Linked DNA regions of Drosophila melanogaster. Changing the gene in region 1 together with any one later gene gives a genetic interaction. Each region holds a gene or a part of one and is shown in the gene's direction. Other genes may lie near its edges.

What was found. A genetic interaction does not mean that the proteins touch.
Region 2: of Dcr-1 (region 1) and mei-P26, changing one suppresses a phenotype caused by changing the other (phenotypic suppression), as found in Drosophila melanogaster (one study listed by BioGRID).
Region 3: of Dcr-1 (region 1) and r2d2, changing one enhances a phenotype caused by changing the other (phenotypic enhancement), as found in Drosophila melanogaster (one study listed by BioGRID).

Annotation. Positions count from the first base shown.
Region 1 is NT_033777.3:22,735,084-22,742,903, reverse strand, and holds the start of Dcr-1 (Dicer-1), read left to right. Parts: upstream 1-1,812; 5' UTR 1,813-1,873; coding exon 1,874-4,507; intron 4,508-4,559; coding exon 4,560-6,168; intron 6,169-6,225; coding exon 6,226-7,820. Other genes in the region: CG6985 (uncharacterized protein), read right to left, coding at 37-90, 150-749, 808-1,587. UniProt on the Drosophila melanogaster protein: Endoribonuclease which functions in microRNA- (miRNA) gene silencing and, independently of its ribonuclease III activity, also acts in the short interfering RNA- (siRNA) gene silencing pathway.
Region 2 is NC_004354.4:9,161,388-9,166,300, forward strand, and holds the start of mei-P26 (meiotic P26), read left to right. Parts: upstream 1-1,867; 5' UTR 1,868-2,011; intron 2,012-2,775; exon of another isoform or gene 2,776-2,947; intron 2,948-4,294; 5' UTR 4,295-4,913. Other genes in the region: Zpr1, read right to left, coding at 1-587; CG44532 (uncharacterized protein), read left to right, coding at 1,088-1,639.
Region 3 is NT_033779.5:7,798,203-7,802,644, forward strand, and holds r2d2 (r2d2), read left to right. Parts: upstream 1-1,944; 5' UTR 1,945-2,050; exon of another isoform or gene 2,051-2,143; 5' UTR 2,144-2,300; coding exon 2,301-2,445; intron 2,446-2,518; coding exon 2,519-3,309; 3' UTR 3,310-3,896; downstream 3,897-4,442. Other genes in the region: Herp (Homocysteine-induced endoplasmic reticulum protein), read right to left, coding at 1-421, 1,107-1,310; Cdc14 (cell division cycle 14), read right to left, coding at 4,285-4,442.

The DNA of each region.
Region 1 (7,820 bases):
GCAATTTAAGTTAGTAAAATGTAATACAAATCTCACCTCAAAGAAAACACGGTCAAAAGGTGGCTCACTTTTGGTCCAGTCCGCTAGATTCTATAGGTTATCAATGCAATAGGTGATTTATTAATATGATAAGAATTCGAAGTACTCACATTAGATGCGGTCGGTATAAGCTGGCTGCGGCAATTCTGAAGATCTTCTATAGAATCATCACCCATATGCCCATAGAACTGCAACTCCTCCGGAGAACCTCCGGCTGTGATGAGAGTATATATTTTGGTATCCATTGCTCCAACGGCCAGCAGTTGGTTGGCTTGCTGCCTGGAATTGTGATTATAAATAATTAGGTGTTTGCAGCGAAGAGCTCGAAGCGCCGACAAGTCACTGGTCAAAATCAAGCCAATCATTGGTTCTCCATCGGCAAGAGAATTAAATAAGTTCACTTTTTGGGGACCATCTAGCTGCGCATGGTCCAAACTATAACTCTGACAGTATCCCCTGACCAGGGTGAGGCAATCCTCACTGTTTGCCAAGATGCAGCACTTCTCGCCTCGCTCCGCCACTAAGTGATCCAGCATTACGTGTAGAAACTCGAACTTGGCGGAGTCGTAAAGTCCCATGCTTGGCCAAGGCGGCAGTATGGCGTCCAGTACCTCCATTATTTCCTTAAACACTGGATTCGTACCCAAAGTTTTTAGGAGCACAGGATGATCACATACAATTTGGAAGATTTCCTTCAACGTAGACGATTCCTGAAATACAAGTTTTTTGATTTGTTTATGCATGTAAATTGGTCTAAATCTATCTTACTGTTTTAGATGTTTGTGCATATTCAGAAACAAAGAGTAATATTTTTTTCTGCAGTTCAGCTGGAGTTAATAGACACAGATATTCCGATTGGGTGAACTCCTTGGTAGGGTTTTCTATCTTCAAAGTGTTTTGTTCATAGATTTTCTTTCCCATCGAAGTGCTGGAATCGGCGGCTGCATAGGAGACATGTTTATCTTCTCTATGTTGGCTAATTTCCAAATGCGGTGGAGCAAAGGCATCTGCCTCGCGCTTGATCTTCTTGAGCAGATGAGACCTAACGGGTGCACTGTCAGCAGGTGGTGGCGATGTGTCTGTACAACCATTCTGGGCATCTATTTTTTGGCACCAGTTGGCTATTTCCAACTGGCGCTGAATAAGGCACTCCTCGACGGTTTTAATCTCCTCCTGAATCTCGACATCCTTGCTGCCTACTTCCAGCTGATCGTTCTCCTGAAGTTGCCGCTGCTTAAAGTATGTCATGGTGTCCACAACCTTGCCGGTGTCATCCTTCAATGTTACTATGGATCCCGTGACCACCAGCGTTCCGTTGCCAGTCCACGTTTTGTGCTTTTTGGTGGTCTGATTACGCCAGAGCACATGGAAGATGCGGCTATCTTTGAGGGGATTCTCGCCCGCCCTGAATTCTCGAGGTCCCAGGCTTTGGGTGCCCCCTGAGGTGCCCCATTCGCTGGGTAGATTGTTTTTGGGCCAGGAGCAGGGTGACTGTGGTTCCTCTTTGGGAGGCGCCGCTTCGCTCTCTCGCTTTGCAGCGCGGCGCATGGAAGGAGCTTTGGAACGCCGCTTTATGGTGCTAAAGAAGAGGATTACCGGGTATAGTTCACCGTAAATACATAAGTTAATTTAAAAACTTTTGCTATCAACAAAATATAAATATACAAGGCGCAATCTATTTTCAAGCCACTTGTAAGTGTGGCCAATGAAGTGAACCTCGAAAGGTATTCCGAACCCTGGTCACACTGGCATTCTGCTGGTAGCCGGCTCTGGATGATTTTCTGATAGAAATCTCGCAGAGGCAGTGGTGTTTTTGTGAATCCCCTCAGCCACGATGGCGTTCCACTGGTGCGACAACAATCTGCACACCACCGTGTTCACGCCGCGCGACTTTCAGGTGGAGCTACTGGCCACCGCCTACGAGCGGAACACGATTATTTGCCTGGGCCATCGAAGTTCCAAGGAGTTTATAGCCCTCAAGCTGCTCCAGGAGCTGTCGCGTCGAGCACGCCGACATGGTCGTGTCAGTGTCTATCTCAGTTGCGAGGTTGGCACCAGCACGGAACCATGCTCCATCTACACGATGCTCACCCACTTGACTGACCTGCGGGTGTGGCAGGAGCAGCCGGATATGCAAATTCCCTTTGATCATTGCTGGACGGACTATCACGTTTCCATCCTACGGCCAGAGGGATTTCTTTATCTGCTCGAAACTCGCGAGCTGCTGCTGAGCAGCGTCGAACTGATCGTGCTGGAAGATTGTCATGACAGCGCCGTTTATCAGAGGATAAGGCCTCTGTTCGAGAATCACATTATGCCAGCGCCACCGGCGGACAGGCCACGGATTCTCGGACTCGCTGGACCGCTGCACAGCGCCGGATGTGAGCTGCAGCAACTGAGCGCCATGCTGGCCACCCTGGAGCAGAGTGTGCTTTGCCAGATCGAGACGGCCAGTGATATTGTCACCGTGTTGCGTTACTGTTCCCGACCGCACGAATACATCGTACAGTGCGCCCCCTTCGAGATGGACGAACTGTCCCTGGTGCTTGCCGATGTGCTCAACACACACAAGTCCTTTTTATTGGACCACCGCTACGATCCCTACGAAATCTACGGCACAGACCAGTTTATGGACGAACTGAAAGACATACCCGATCCCAAGGTGGACCCCCTGAACGTCATCAACTCACTACTGGTCGTGCTGCACGAGATGGGTCCTTGGTGCACGCAGCGGGCTGCACATCACTTTTACCAATGCAATGAGAAGTTAAAGGTGAAGACGCCGCACGAACGTCACTACTTGCTGTACTGCCTAGTGAGCACGGCCCTTATCCAACTGTACTCCCTCTGCGAACACGCATTCCATCGACATTTAGGAAGTGGCAGCGATTCACGCCAGACCATCGAACGCTATTCCAGCCCCAAGGTGCGACGTCTGTTGCAGACACTGAGGTGCTTCAAGCCGGAAGAGGTGCACACCCAAGCGGACGGACTGCGCAGAATGCGGCATCAGGTGGATCAGGCGGACTTCAATCGGTTATCTCATACGCTGGAAAGCAAGTGCCGAATGGTGGATCAAATGGACCAACCGCCGACGGAGACACGAGCCCTGGTGGCCACTCTTGAGCAGATTCTGCACACGACAGAGGACAGGCAGACGAACAGAAGCGCCGCTCGGGTGACTCCTACTCCTACTCCCGCTCATGCGAAGCCGAAACCTAGCTCTGGTGCCAACACTGCACAACCACGAACTCGTAGACGTGTGTACACCAGGCGCCACCACCGGGATCACAATGATGGCAGCGACACGCTCTGCGCACTGATTTACTGCAACCAGAACCACACGGCTCGCGTGCTCTTTGAGCTTCTAGCGGAGATTAGCAGACGTGATCCCGATCTCAAGTTCCTACGCTGCCAGTACACCACGGACCGGGTGGCAGATCCCACCACGGAGCCCAAAGAGGCTGAGTTGGAGCACCGGCGGCAGGAAGAGGTGCTAAAGCGCTTCCGCATGCATGACTGCAATGTCCTGATCGGTACTTCGGTGCTGGAAGAGGGCATCGATGTGCCCAAGTGCAATTTGGTTGTGCGCTGGGATCCGCCAACCACATATCGCAGTTACGTTCAGTGCAAAGGTCGAGCCCGTGCTGCTCCAGCCTATCATGTCATTCTCGTCGCTCCGAGTTATAAAAGCCCAACTGTGGGGTCAGTGCAGCTGACCGATCGGAGTCATCGGTATATTTGCGCGACTGGTGATACTACAGAGGCGGACAGCGACTCTGATGATTCAGCGATGCCAAACTCGTCCGGCTCGGATCCCTATACTTTTGGCACGGCACGCGGAACCGTGAAGATCCTCAACCCCGAAGTGTTCAGTAAACAACCACCGACAGCGTGCGACATTAAGCTGCAGGAGATCCAGGACGAATTGCCAGCCGCAGCGCAGCTGGATACGAGCAACTCCAGCGACGAAGCCGTCAGCATGAGTAACACGTCTCCAAGCGAGAGCAGTACAGAACAAAAATCCAGACGCTTCCAGTGCGAGCTGAGCTCTTTAACGGAGCCAGAAGACACAAGTGATACTACAGCCGAAATCGATACTGCTCATAGTTTAGCCAGCACCACGAAGGACTTGGTGCATCAAATGGCACAGTATCGCGAAATCGAGCAGATGCTGCTATCCAAGTGCGCCAACACAGAGCCGCCGGAGCAGGAGCAGAGTGAGGCGGAACGTTTTAGTGCCTGCCTGGCCGCATACCGACCCAAGCCGCACCTGCTAACAGGCGCCTCCGTGGATCTGGGTTCTGCTATAGCTTTGGTCAACAAGTACTGCGCCCGACTGCCAAGCGACACGTTCACCAAGTTGACGGCGTTGTGGCGCTGCACCCGAAACGAAAGGGCTGGAGTGACCCTGTTTCAGTACACACTCCGTCTGCCCATCAACTCGCCATTGAAGCATGACATTGTGGTAAGTACTTGTAATACGAATTATTTAAGATTTGTTAAATACTCTTCTTTAGGGTCTTCCGATGCCAACTCAAACATTGGCCCGCCGACTGGCTGCCTTGCAGGCTTGCGTGGAACTGCACAGGATCGGTGAGTTAGACGATCAGTTGCAGCCTATCGGCAAGGAGGGATTTCGTGCCCTGGAGCCGGACTGGGAGTGCTTTGAACTGGAGCCAGAGGACGAACAGATTGTGCAGCTAAGCGATGAACCACGTCCGGGAACAACGAAGCGTCGTCAGTACTATTACAAACGCATTGCATCCGAATTTTGCGATTGCCGTCCCGTTGCCGGAGCGCCATGCTATTTGTACTTTATCCAACTGACGCTCCAATGTCCGATTCCCGAAGAGCAAAACACGCGGGGACGCAAGATTTATCCGCCCGAAGATGCGCAGCAGGGATTCGGCATTCTAACCACCAAACGGATACCCAAGCTGAGTGCTTTCTCGATATTCACGCGTTCCGGTGAGGTGAAGGTTTCCCTGGAGTTAGCTAAGGAACGCGTGATTCTAACTAGCGAACAAATAGTCTGCATCAACGGATTTTTAAACTACACGTTCACCAATGTACTGCGTTTGCAAAAGTTTCTGATGCTCTTCGATCCGGACTCCACGGAAAATTGTGTATTCATTGTGCCCACCGTGAAGGCACCAGCTGGCGGCAAGCACATCGACTGGCAGTTTCTGGAGCTGATCCAAGCGAATGGAAATACAATGCCACGGGCAGTGCCCGATGAGGAGCGCCAGGCGCAGCCGTTTGATCCGCAACGCTTCCAGGATGCCGTCGTTATGCCGTGGTATCGCAACCAGGATCAACCGCAGTATTTCTATGTGGCGGAGATATGTCCACATCTATCCCCACTCAGCTGCTTCCCTGGTGACAACTACCGCACGTTCAAGCACTACTACCTCGTCAAGTATGGTCTGACCATACAGAATACCTCGCAGCCGCTATTGGACGTGGATCACACCAGTGCGCGGTTAAACTTCCTCACGCCACGATACGTTAATCGCAAGGGCGTTGCTCTGCCCACTAGTTCGGAGGAGACAAAGCGGGCAAAGCGCGAGAATCTCGAACAGAAGCAGATCCTTGTGCCAGAGCTCTGCACTGTGCATCCATTCCCCGCCTCCTTGTGGCGAACTGCCGTGTGCCTGCCCTGCATCCTGTACCGCATAAATGGTCTTCTATTGGCCGACGATATTCGGAAACAGGTTTCTGCGGATCTGGGGCTGGGAAGGCAACAGATCGAAGATGAGGATTTCGAGTGGCCCATGCTGGACTTTGGGTGGAGTCTATCGGAGGTGCTCAAGAAATCGCGGGAGTCCAAACAAAAGGAGTCCCTTAAGGATGATACTATTAATGGCAAAGACTTAGCTGATGTTGAAAAGAAACCGACTAGCGAGGAGACCCAACTAGATAAGGATTCAAAAGACGATAAGGTTGAGAAAAGTGCTATTGAACTAATCATTGAGGGAGAGGAGAAGCTGCAAGAGGCTGATGACTTCATTGAGATAGGCACTTGGTCAAACGATATGGCCGACGATATAGCTAGTTTTAACCAAGAAGACGACGACGAGGATGACGCCTTCCATCTCCCAGTTTTACCGGCAAACGTTAAGTTCTGTAAGTTATTTAAATCCCTTGCTAAGGATCAGAAATAATCCCTAATACATCTTACAGGTGATCAGCAAACGCGCTACGGTTCGCCCACATTTTGGGATGTGAGCAATGGCGAAAGCGGCTTCAAGGGTCCAAAGAGCAGTCAGAATAAGCAGGGTGGCAAGGGCAAAGCAAAGGGTCCGGCAAAGCCCACATTTAACTATTATGACTCGGACAATTCGCTGGGTTCCAGCTACGATGACGACGATAACGCAGGTCCGCTCAATTACATGCATCACAACTACAGTTCGGATGACGACGATGTGGCAGATGATATCGATGCGGGACGCATTGCGTTCACCTCCAAGAATGAAGCGGAGACTATTGAAACCGCACAGGAAGTGGAAAAGCGCCAGAAGCAGCTGTCCATCATCCAGGCGACCAATGCTAACGAGCGGCAGTATCAGCAGACAAAGAACCTGCTCATTGGATTCAATTTTAAGCATGAGGACCAGAAGGAACCTGCCACTATAAGATATGAAGAATCCATAGCTAAGCTCAAAACGGAAATAGAATCCGGCGGCATGTTGGTGCCGCACGACCAGCAGTTGGTTCTAAAAAGAAGTGATGCCGCTGAGGCTCAGGTTGCAAAGGTATCGATGATGGAGCTATTGAAGCAGCTGCTGCCGTATGTAAATGAAGATGTGCTGGCCAAAAAGCTGGGTGATAGGCGCGAGCTTCTGCTGTCGGATTTGGTAGAGCTAAATGCAGATTGGGTAGCGCGACATGAGCAGGAGACCTACAATGTAATGGGATGCGGAGATAGTTTTGACAACTATAACGATCATCATCGGCTGAACTTGGATGAAAAGCAACTGAAACTGCAATACGAACGAATTGAAATTGAGCCACCTACTTCCACGAAGGCCATAACCTCAGCCATATTACCAGCTGGCTTCAGTTTCGATCGACAACCGGATCTAGTGGGCCATCCAGGACCCAGTCCCAGCATCATTTTGCAAGCCCTCACAATGTCCAATGCTAACGATGGCATCAATCTGGAGCGACTGGAGACAATTGGAGATTCCTTTCTAAAGTATGCCATTACCACCTACTTGTACATCACCTACGAGAATGTGCACGAGGGAAAACTAAGTCACCTGCGCTCCAAGCAGGTTGCCAATCTCAATCTCTATCGTCTGGGCAGACGTAAGAGACTGGGTGAATATATGATAGCCACTAAATTCGAGCCGCACGACAATTGGCTGCCACCCTGCTACTACGTGCCAAAGGAGCTAGAGAAGGCGCTCATCGAGGCGAAGATCCCCACTCACCATTGGAAGCTGGCCGATCTGCTAGACATTAAGAACCTAAGCAGTGTGCAAATCTGCGAGATGGTTCGCGAAAAAGCCGATGCCCTGGGCTTGGAGCAGAATGGGGGTGCCCAAAATGGACAACTTGACGACTCCAATGATAGCTGCAATGATTTTAGCTGTTTTATTCCCTACAACCTTGTTTCGCAACACAGCATTCCGGATAAGTCTATTGCCGATTGCGTCGAAGCCCTCATTGGAGCCTATCTCATTGAGTGCGGACCCCGAGGGGCTTTACTCTTTATGGCCTGGCTGGGCGTGAGAGTGCTCCCTATCACAAGGCAGTTGGACGGGGGTAACCAG
Region 2 (4,913 bases), on another chromosome or scaffold:
AAACTATTGCCGGATATGTCCTCGAGAAGCACTTGAAAGGGTGTTGTCACCTCCTTTAGGCGGTGCAATCGCTCGATGTACTTTTCAATTGAAGCAGCTGTCTCCGGATGATCGATGCGCCGCTTCTCCTGATCCTGCGACAAGCCGGCTATCGTCCGCTCGATGATGCCTTCGACGGTGGTCACCTCGCCCTTCTGCGACTGCACCGGAATCTCTAGCTCGATCTCCGGTATGCTGATGCTGGAGTTATCCGAGCGCACCACGCGCCGATTGAGATCAGCCACGGATTGCACTCGCAGTTCGATGCGAATGCCGGACTTTTGGATCTCCGATGCCGACTGCATCTCGTTGTTGATGTGGCCGCAGTGGTCGCACTTGAAGGACATGAGCACCACCTCGCGAAAAAAGGGTATCTTGGTGGGCAGCAGCCGAGTGACTCCCGTTTCGAAGCAGTTCATGCAGGCGGATTCGACCTCCACTATCTCGTCGGTCTGCTCCGCATTGATTTCCCGGAAAATGGGCTCCGGCCGAATGTTCCCCGCACTCTCCGGCGGATTGCTACTGTTGGGGTCGCTCACGGTGGACATGATTTGATTGCTATCCACACGAAAGTTCCTGTTTAAGTGTGCTTTTTTAAATGAAATGTATATGTTTGGGGCGAAACGTGCAAGTTTAATCGATAGACGCTGACGATAAGTGTCGATAGTCGTCGTGTGACCGGCTTGCATATGCTTAAAACTCCTTAAATACCCAGAAGTGTGCTCGGCGCGTTGATCTTAAACGCTCGAGAATTTACTCGTGTTCGATAGAAAATTCCCCGAAATAAAAAGGTGCACAAATAAATTTAAGAGCTTACCTGTAGCGGTACACGGTAAGGCCATAAAACAAAAACTGATTGGCCATCTGCATATTAATCTGGGAATACCACCTACCTGACACACGTTCTTCCTAAAATTACCTGCGCTTTCAGAAATAACTGGAGTCCTTTTGTAGAGCGACAATTCAAGGCAGTACAAAAAGAGCCAAGCTTAGAGTATCATTGAATTGTTGATATTCCTGTTACCATTTTAAGAGACTTTCAATTAAGATGGCCGGATCGTCGAGCATTAGTGCGCTGTTGGCCGAGCAAATGAATTTGGGCGAGAAGATTCAAAGCATTATTCGCAATTATAAAAAGGCTCCGGCTCAACGGAAATCTAAACCTGGATATTTTGAAGGGCGACTATCCAAATTGCAAAGCTTGTGGGATGCATTTTCCAAAGGGGAAAATACTATTAAAACTCGCAACGAAAAGACGCAAATGGAACATACATACTTTAAAAACAACTTCTTTGTCAAAATAAAGACTTTGGTAGTTGAATATACATCAGAATTCAATCGAAAACTGCACGCATCGGAAAATGATACTGAAAACGTGCACGCATCGGAATTGGATACTAAACACGTGCCCGCATCGCAGCAGAATTCTGAAGATCAATTCAATTCTATGCTTAGAGAGCATCGGATATTGATGGACAGATTGGATAATATTATAAACGAGTTGGAATGCGTGACAAGGAATGGGATTAATCCCATCATTTTACCCTATTTAACTGATATGCAAAATATGCATGCGGAAATGAGTCAAACTGACATTTAAATGTAATGTAACATGTAATAATAAAGCGTATTTTGTGTTATTATTTAAATATATATATATATAATTATATTATACTTATTAAAGATGTAAGCTTTGCGGAATGAAAACTTAAAATAAATATTTGGCGACCGATACGCGTTTATTCAATATAACTATCGATATCAGGGCATCGCTTTTCAAAAACTATCGATACGTGGCTGTGCTGAAATATATATCTATCATCCCTAGCTGCACTGCATACAAAAGTTCGACGGGAGCAGTAAAGTAATTATTTGTTTAATCCAATAATTATCGACTCCAATCAAATTGGCGGTCTTCTGGTTGTTTTTAATGTCCCAGAACGTGCTAAATTCGCTGAATCAGTGAATAACGGTAACTGTAGATATAACTGCCTGTGGTGTGTAGTGTTCTCTTGTGTTCCTGCGTGTAGGCGTTTGTGTGGGACGGGCAAATATAAAATCGTAACGTAACAAGCAAAAGAGAGCAGCAAAAAACAAAAAGAACCAACAAAAAAACGTGTGAAAACGAAAACTACATTTAAATATAAGGTGGTGACAGTTGCGAAAAAGCAGTTAGCAGTTTAAATTGGACAGTAAAAGCTGACAACGCCGGACAGACAGTGAAGTGTTCAGGCATTTCAAGGACCTTTTTCGCCTCCTGTCTGCTGTTCGGTTTGTGAGAGTGTGTGTGTATGCATGTGCAGGCGTGTGTGTTGAGTGCCTTTTGACCACGACCACCTGGGCGGTAGTCAAGTGGAAATTTTGCGTTCAAGGACAACGGCAGTGCCCCCCCTTGTCGATTGTCACCCCGCGACCCCGTCGAGAGTTGTCTTAGCCACCACCCGCGCCCCCCAACTAAAACTTTTAAATCGACGACAGTTCGTCCGGTCGGTCAAGAATAGTGTTTATTCCGAAATCGAAAAAGGGAATTCAGTTTTAATTTCACATGGTGTGTGTGTGTGTTTTTTTTTGTATTCTGTATGTGTGGGTGCCGTTTTTCGTATTCGTATTTCATTTTTTGCCGCGTTGAGTGAGCTTGCGCACACCAATACGAACGAAATTGAGAACTTTTCTTCGCATAACCGATTTTTCGCTCTCTCTCTCTCTCAATCGCTTATCGCTCCTCTTCTATCTCTTTCGCAGCCCAGCCAGCGCTGCACTCGAAAATAACCGTTTGCGAGTAGCAAGAGAGAGAGCGGCACACATTTAAAAGTGAAATAAATCAAAAAGTACGTGGAAATGGACAAGAAAATATCAGCTGCGGCGCAGAATTGACAAAGTCGATAGGGGGACCAACAAAATCATCCAGGTCCGATAAAGCAAAGCAAAATAAAACAGAACAGTGAAAAAAAGGGGCAAAGCAGCGGTACTAAATTCCGTTTACCACGTGTGTTCGCTTGTAGGCGCTTGTGTCTGTGTGTATGCAGCTGATTCGGCATGTGGGTGTTTGGTTGCGAGTGTTTGGAGGGGGCACAAAACTAAAGTAGATTTTAAACTACCGCTCACTTCCGCTGATTTAAACGTATTTATTTAGGCAATTGCCTTGCCCCAATTGAATTAGTTGTTCAAGGACTTTGTGCCCCAGCTTGTCCTTGTTAGGGCAGCTATTTTTTTGCGCAGCTAGCGGATAAATGGCTAGAAAGGTCATCACTATGAACGCGCCTGCGTGAACGGGTAGCAAAAGCAGGAAGCAGGAGTAAAGAAGAGCTTGATGTGTGTGTGTGTGTGTGTGTGTGTGGCGCATAGCTACACATAACGGAGAAAAACGTAACGTAAACTTAACGCAAAAGGGAACCGATACTACCACCCCCTTCCCCACTCTCTCCATTAGTGGCCTAACATAGACATTAATTGGATAACCTACGATCGGATAAACATTCAATGCACGAAATCTATGTTGCTAGTTCTTATCCTTTCCCATTAAACTCTCAAAACGGCATTATTCCATTCCATCCTGGTAGCTCTTGCCGGCTATATTAATTCAAATTCGATTTCATGGGAAAGCGTTATACAAATGCCAAGCGTTTTGAATTGGACTACGCCTAAGGTCCCGTCGCAGTCGAATTGGAAGAAGGCAACAATTCTTGTCAGATGATGACATAAAATTATAGATATAGATATAGATAGATATAGATATTTCACTAAATAACACAATTTTGGTAATCAATAAAAAGTTTTCAAACCTAATCATATTTTTATTATTTTTTTTACTTAACTGACTTAGGACTTCAAAATGAATAAGAAAATTATTACCTATTGTATATCAATAAGAATCGCATTTCCAATTCTTGCTGAGTTACGTTAATTTTGAAATTAGATTTATCTGAAAAATGGCCAATATACTTTGCTAACATCCGGAAAGTATGCAGCAGAGTGTGTGAGTGTGTGTGTGCTGTTGCAAAAGCCAGAGGCGTTTTAAAGGGGGTTGCACTGCGTATGGAAAGGGTAAAAAAGAAATGTTTCATTTGATTTAATGCCAAATTCCCTTTCTCCATATGTCAGTAAGGTTCATCTATATTTGATATATTTTGTTCTGCGTTACAGAATTTATATTTCTGTTTTAGTTTTATATTTATTAATTTGTACATTTTTGTAAATTTCTAGCCACCGATTAACGTGATTTTTGTATCCATTGTTCTTTTTTAAATACCAAAAGGAGCGGCGCTGTCGTCCAATTTGCATCGCCGTGTTCTTCGTCAGTGTTTGTTGTCGTCTCCTCGTTCGTCCTTAATTTTATTTCGTCCTTGTGCAACAAGAAGAAGCAAAAGAACAGCCACATCAAACAGGAGGAGGATCACTGCAATACACAGTTTCCAAATGCTTTAAAAATATTCGGCAATATCTAAATATCTAGAAAAGTAAGACAAGCAGCGAATCAGCAACAACAATCGAAAACACCAAACAAAAACCAAAAAACTAAGATAAGCCGAAAGCCGAAGGAGGCTCGCAAATTTGTTTACAAATTTGCAATACATTTTAAGTAAGCGGAGGAGAAGAAGGGGTGTTTGTTGCGCATCAGTGTGTGTGTGTGTGCGTGCGCGTGGATTGTATAGGTCCTTCGCTCATTTTTACCCCGACGAAACGAACTATTGTTGGCCTTTTCTTGCGGCAATAGAAGGGACCTCAATTGGAATGGCCCTCGTGGGAGAGCGGAGGGACATTAGGGAGCAGCAGAAGTAGCAGCAGCAGCAGCAGCAGCAGCAGGATTAGGATCAGGAATAGGATCAGGAATAGGATCAGCAGCAAATGCAAGCAAGCGCAAAGGACTAGAAAAG
Region 3 (4,442 bases), on another chromosome or scaffold:
GCATCCAGGCGTTGTAGATGAGCGCCTGCTGCTGGAACAAAGCATGGGGACTGGCACTGGCATTGGCAGCAGGTGCTGCTCCCTGGCTCTGCTGCCAGAAGTGTGTCCAGGGATTGGCCAAACCGATGTCACCCGTCACGTGTGGTCCAGCGTTGCCCTGCTGTGCCTGCTGCTGATGTGGAGCATGACGTTGTCGCAGCTCATTTGCATTCCCAGTGACCTCGGGCCCAGCTGGAACCGCATCCTTCTGCGGAACAGTGGGGGCTTTGGCAGCCGGCCTTATCACTTGCTTGCTGGCACACACCAAGTGAAATATGTGGTGCTGTTGGTAGACATCCTTGTAGCTGCGTATCACCTCAGATATCTTTTGGGAGTCATCTAATAGCTTGCCCGAGTAAATAAGTTTCTGGTCCTGGATTAACTACAGAAAAAATGGAAAGAAATAGTTATAGTGGTCAAAACATAAAACATAAAATTTCACATTATAGGTATTCAGAGGGAACCTAGAGATAACTCATTGTTGCTTTTACCTCCGCGCGAAATTTATACTATCAAACAGTGCCTAAATCTATTTATTTGCACACTCCAAGAGATAACAACTTGTACTTGTCAGTTGACTTTATGGAAATGATACTTGAAACTAAATAAATTTTTATAAATTCTACTTGATTTGCTCTGGAAATAAAGAGTGCTAATGTATTTTTTCTGCCTGCAATGATCTGAATCTTTAGTATATATCAGTGATATTGATATGTGGGATGTACATATGTACATAAAAAACTTGGCACATGAGTGGAGCGTGAATATGTCCAAAAATCTTATCACTTTCTAACCGTAACCAAATTAATCCCAGTTCCCAGTTCCGACCCATCGATTTGGCATAGACCAAGTGCATGACGCAAGTGCATGACGGCGACTATAATTTAGAGGAGCAATCCACTGACGTGTACTTGCGACTAAGACGCAAATAGCTTTGGGAACCGACACACCTATGAATCCTAAACGAAGATGATAAACAATAACAAACTTCTCGATAAGATAATGGGGCTCCTGGCCAGTTTTCTACCTATACGATAACAAGGGGGGGAACCAACTCGATAACCCACCGGTTTGCCAGGATAGATAAGAGATAGGTGCTTCTTCAGCCTCTGGACCGTCCAGCAGAGATCGGAGTCCACATTGAGATCCTCATACTGCTGGTTGGACGACTTGATGAGCAGCCGGACACTGGTTTCCGGATTCTTTTGACGGGTGGCGGCATCGCAGCCCGCGGCTGTTGCGGCTGCGGGTGGGGCGGCGTTCTCCTCCATCTGGCTGACCCCGCGAATCGGAGAACTTTCTATTGCTAATTAATGACCGCGATACGAAGATCGGTGATGGGTTTTTGCTGCGCTAGCGGGGACACTTTTTACGCAGCCACTGTTTCTCACTTCCTACTCCGCTCTGCTCTCTGCGTATTTTCGAGAAATAGTTTATTCTGAATTTGACATTTAATTTGGTATTATGCTATTGTTTGGTTTTCAACAGCTGTTCGTTCTGTGGTGTTTTGCTCGCAGCACAGAGTTATTGATTATGAAACGCAGTAAACGTTCCGCAGTTGATCAAAAACTACTCTTCATTTGGTTCTGACCTGTGGCAAGTGATGAGCGTCGGTCACAGGGCTGCCGCGAGTAGCAGGTATTTTTAAGTCGCAGGTTGCACAAACAGCTGAGAATTGATTTTCCAAAGTGTGTGGGATGTGGCAATTTAAGTACACAGTTGGAAAATATTAAAGTCGTTGCTCAAACACTTGGTTTTAGTGTTTTTAGAATTTATTCCTTTGAAAAATATACGGTATCTAGTTATTTGCAGTTGTGGATTTTGCTCATCACTGACAGCAACACTTGTTAATGCCATATACTACGCAACAGGGTTGCCTTGACTTACGGGGATGCCAACTCGCGTCATCGTGACGTGTCGATTATGTATAACACTTCAGACGTTGAACTTTGAATGAAAACACCGAATAGCATATAAAATGCATTTGCTCCTTAGTAAAAAAGTTAAGAAGGTTTGCCGCTGTTTTCGTATTCGAATTACGAATTCAATACTATTTCGTGAAAATATTTTTTTGACAAAGCGGCATAAAATAATTCATTTACAGATGTCTTCGTCAAGATTTCCTATTCTATCGTTGCCGCTTCGTGATTCGCGTGCCATCTCTAATAACATTGCAGTGCTTTAGATATTTTATAAATTATATATATGGTTATATTCTGTTGAATGTTAGCACGTCCGACGTGCCTTTTCCCCTTGAACTCATGGATAACAAGTCAGCCGTATCTGCTCTACAGGAGTTTTGTGCCCGGACACAGATTAATCTACCAACATACAGTTTTATTCCCGGCGAAGACGGAGGGTACGTCTGTAAAGTTGAACTATTGGAGATAGAGGCCCTTGGAAATGGTAAATTTAAATTACAAATCTCAACCACTATTTATATTCGTATCTAAACCGCCACATATTTATCCAATTCTAGGGCGTTCGAAGCGTGATGCCAAACACCTGGCTGCCAGCAATATCTTGCGTAAAATCCAACTGCTGCCCGGCATACACGGCTTGATGAAGGATTCGACTGTGGGTGATCTGGATGAGGAACTGACTAACCTCAACCGGGACATGGTGAAGGAGCTGCGTGACTACTGCGTCCGCCGCGAGATGCCACTGCCCTGCATTGAGGTAGTGCAGCAAAGCGGCACCCCGAGCGCCCCGGAATTCGTGGCCTGTTGCTCCGTGGCCTCCATAGTACGCTACGGAAAGTCGGACAAAAAGAAGGATGCCCGTCAGCGAGCGGCCATTGAAATGCTGGCCTTAATCTCCAGCAATTCGGACAATTTGCGTCCGGATCAAATGCAAGTAGCGAGCACAAGCAAATTGAAAGTTGTTGATATGGAAGAATCTATGGAGGAATTGGAGGCATTGCGCAGAAAGAAATTTACCACCTACTGGGAGTTGAAGGAAGCCGGGAGCGTAGACCATACAGGCATGCGGCTCTGCGACCGACACAACTACTTCAAGAACTTCTATCCTACCCTGAAAAAGGAGGCCATTGAGGCCATCAATTCAGATGAATACGAGAGCTCCAAGGATAAGGCTATGGACGTAATGAGCTCTTTAAAGATAACACCCAAAATCAGTGAAGTGGAATCTTCATCGTTGGTTCCCTTGCTTAGCGTCGAGCTTAATTGTGCATTCGACGTGGTCCTTATGGCAAAGGAGACCGATATCTACGACCATATAATAGACTATTTTCGCACCATGTTGATTTAATGCGTATAACATTTATTCAACTATTCTAGCTTAAAACTAAGTAAACTCGTTTTATTTACACTCTAGAATGCACATATTTCATTTAATCTTACGATTAATACAATCTCCACCAATTTGTAGGTGGGAAACATAAAAAAATTATTTTCAAGGTCTTTTAGTAAACATCTATGTTAACTTTGTACACGATTGAGATAGGTGTAAAAAATCCAAGGAAATAAGTAAGGGGAGTGGGTACAACAACTTTTACTTTCGAGAAGGTATAACATAATGATATTATTAATTACTTTTCGATGCCAATACCAATGTTAATTCTATTAAAATGTAAAGTATTTATACGGTCCGAACTTATTGTTTGCAACAACTGATTATAAAATATTTGAAGCAATTTACATAAATATGTATTGCACAGTGAAATTAAAAATCTGAACATTTGCCTTTAAAAGGAATGCTAGTAATCAAAGACTTACTTGAAACAAATATTTTAAATAATTTGACGGAAAAAAATGGTAAAAATGCTGCATTTCTTTTTTTTTTTACAAGTACAACTTTTATACGAATAAAAGGGGTTTCAGTCTAAAATAAATAAAGTGCTTCGTAGTCTTCAGCATTTTTGATTTTATTTTTACAACACAATGCTAAAATGAAAACTAAGCGTTCCTCTTAAAAACTTTCAACAATGTATTAACAATTTCAATGTCAATTGCTTGCCTTTTAATGGGTTATCTTATATTAGTACAATATGTTAAATAACAAATCCATAACAATTTGAAATGTTTTCCTAAAAAAAAATGTAAGTGTATAAATGAGATTGTTATTGCAAATAATTTCCTAATCAATCACCAAATTTGATTGCATTGGAATATCTAAAAAATCATTGCATTCGCCACATCAATCTCATCATCTCATCGGGAAACGTTCAATTTACTAGTCAAAATAATATTTACACAACTAAAGGAAACAATATATGATTAGTGTTCAATAGCTAATCTTCTTGCGCAGCTTGAGATTGGATTGTTGATGGTCCAGAGACTGTTGTTGTTGTTGTTGCTGTCGCTCCCGATCCCGATCCTTTTCGCTGGACGCACGACTCACACCGCGTACCAGGTGCTGTTGCCACTGGCTGGAGGAGGGCG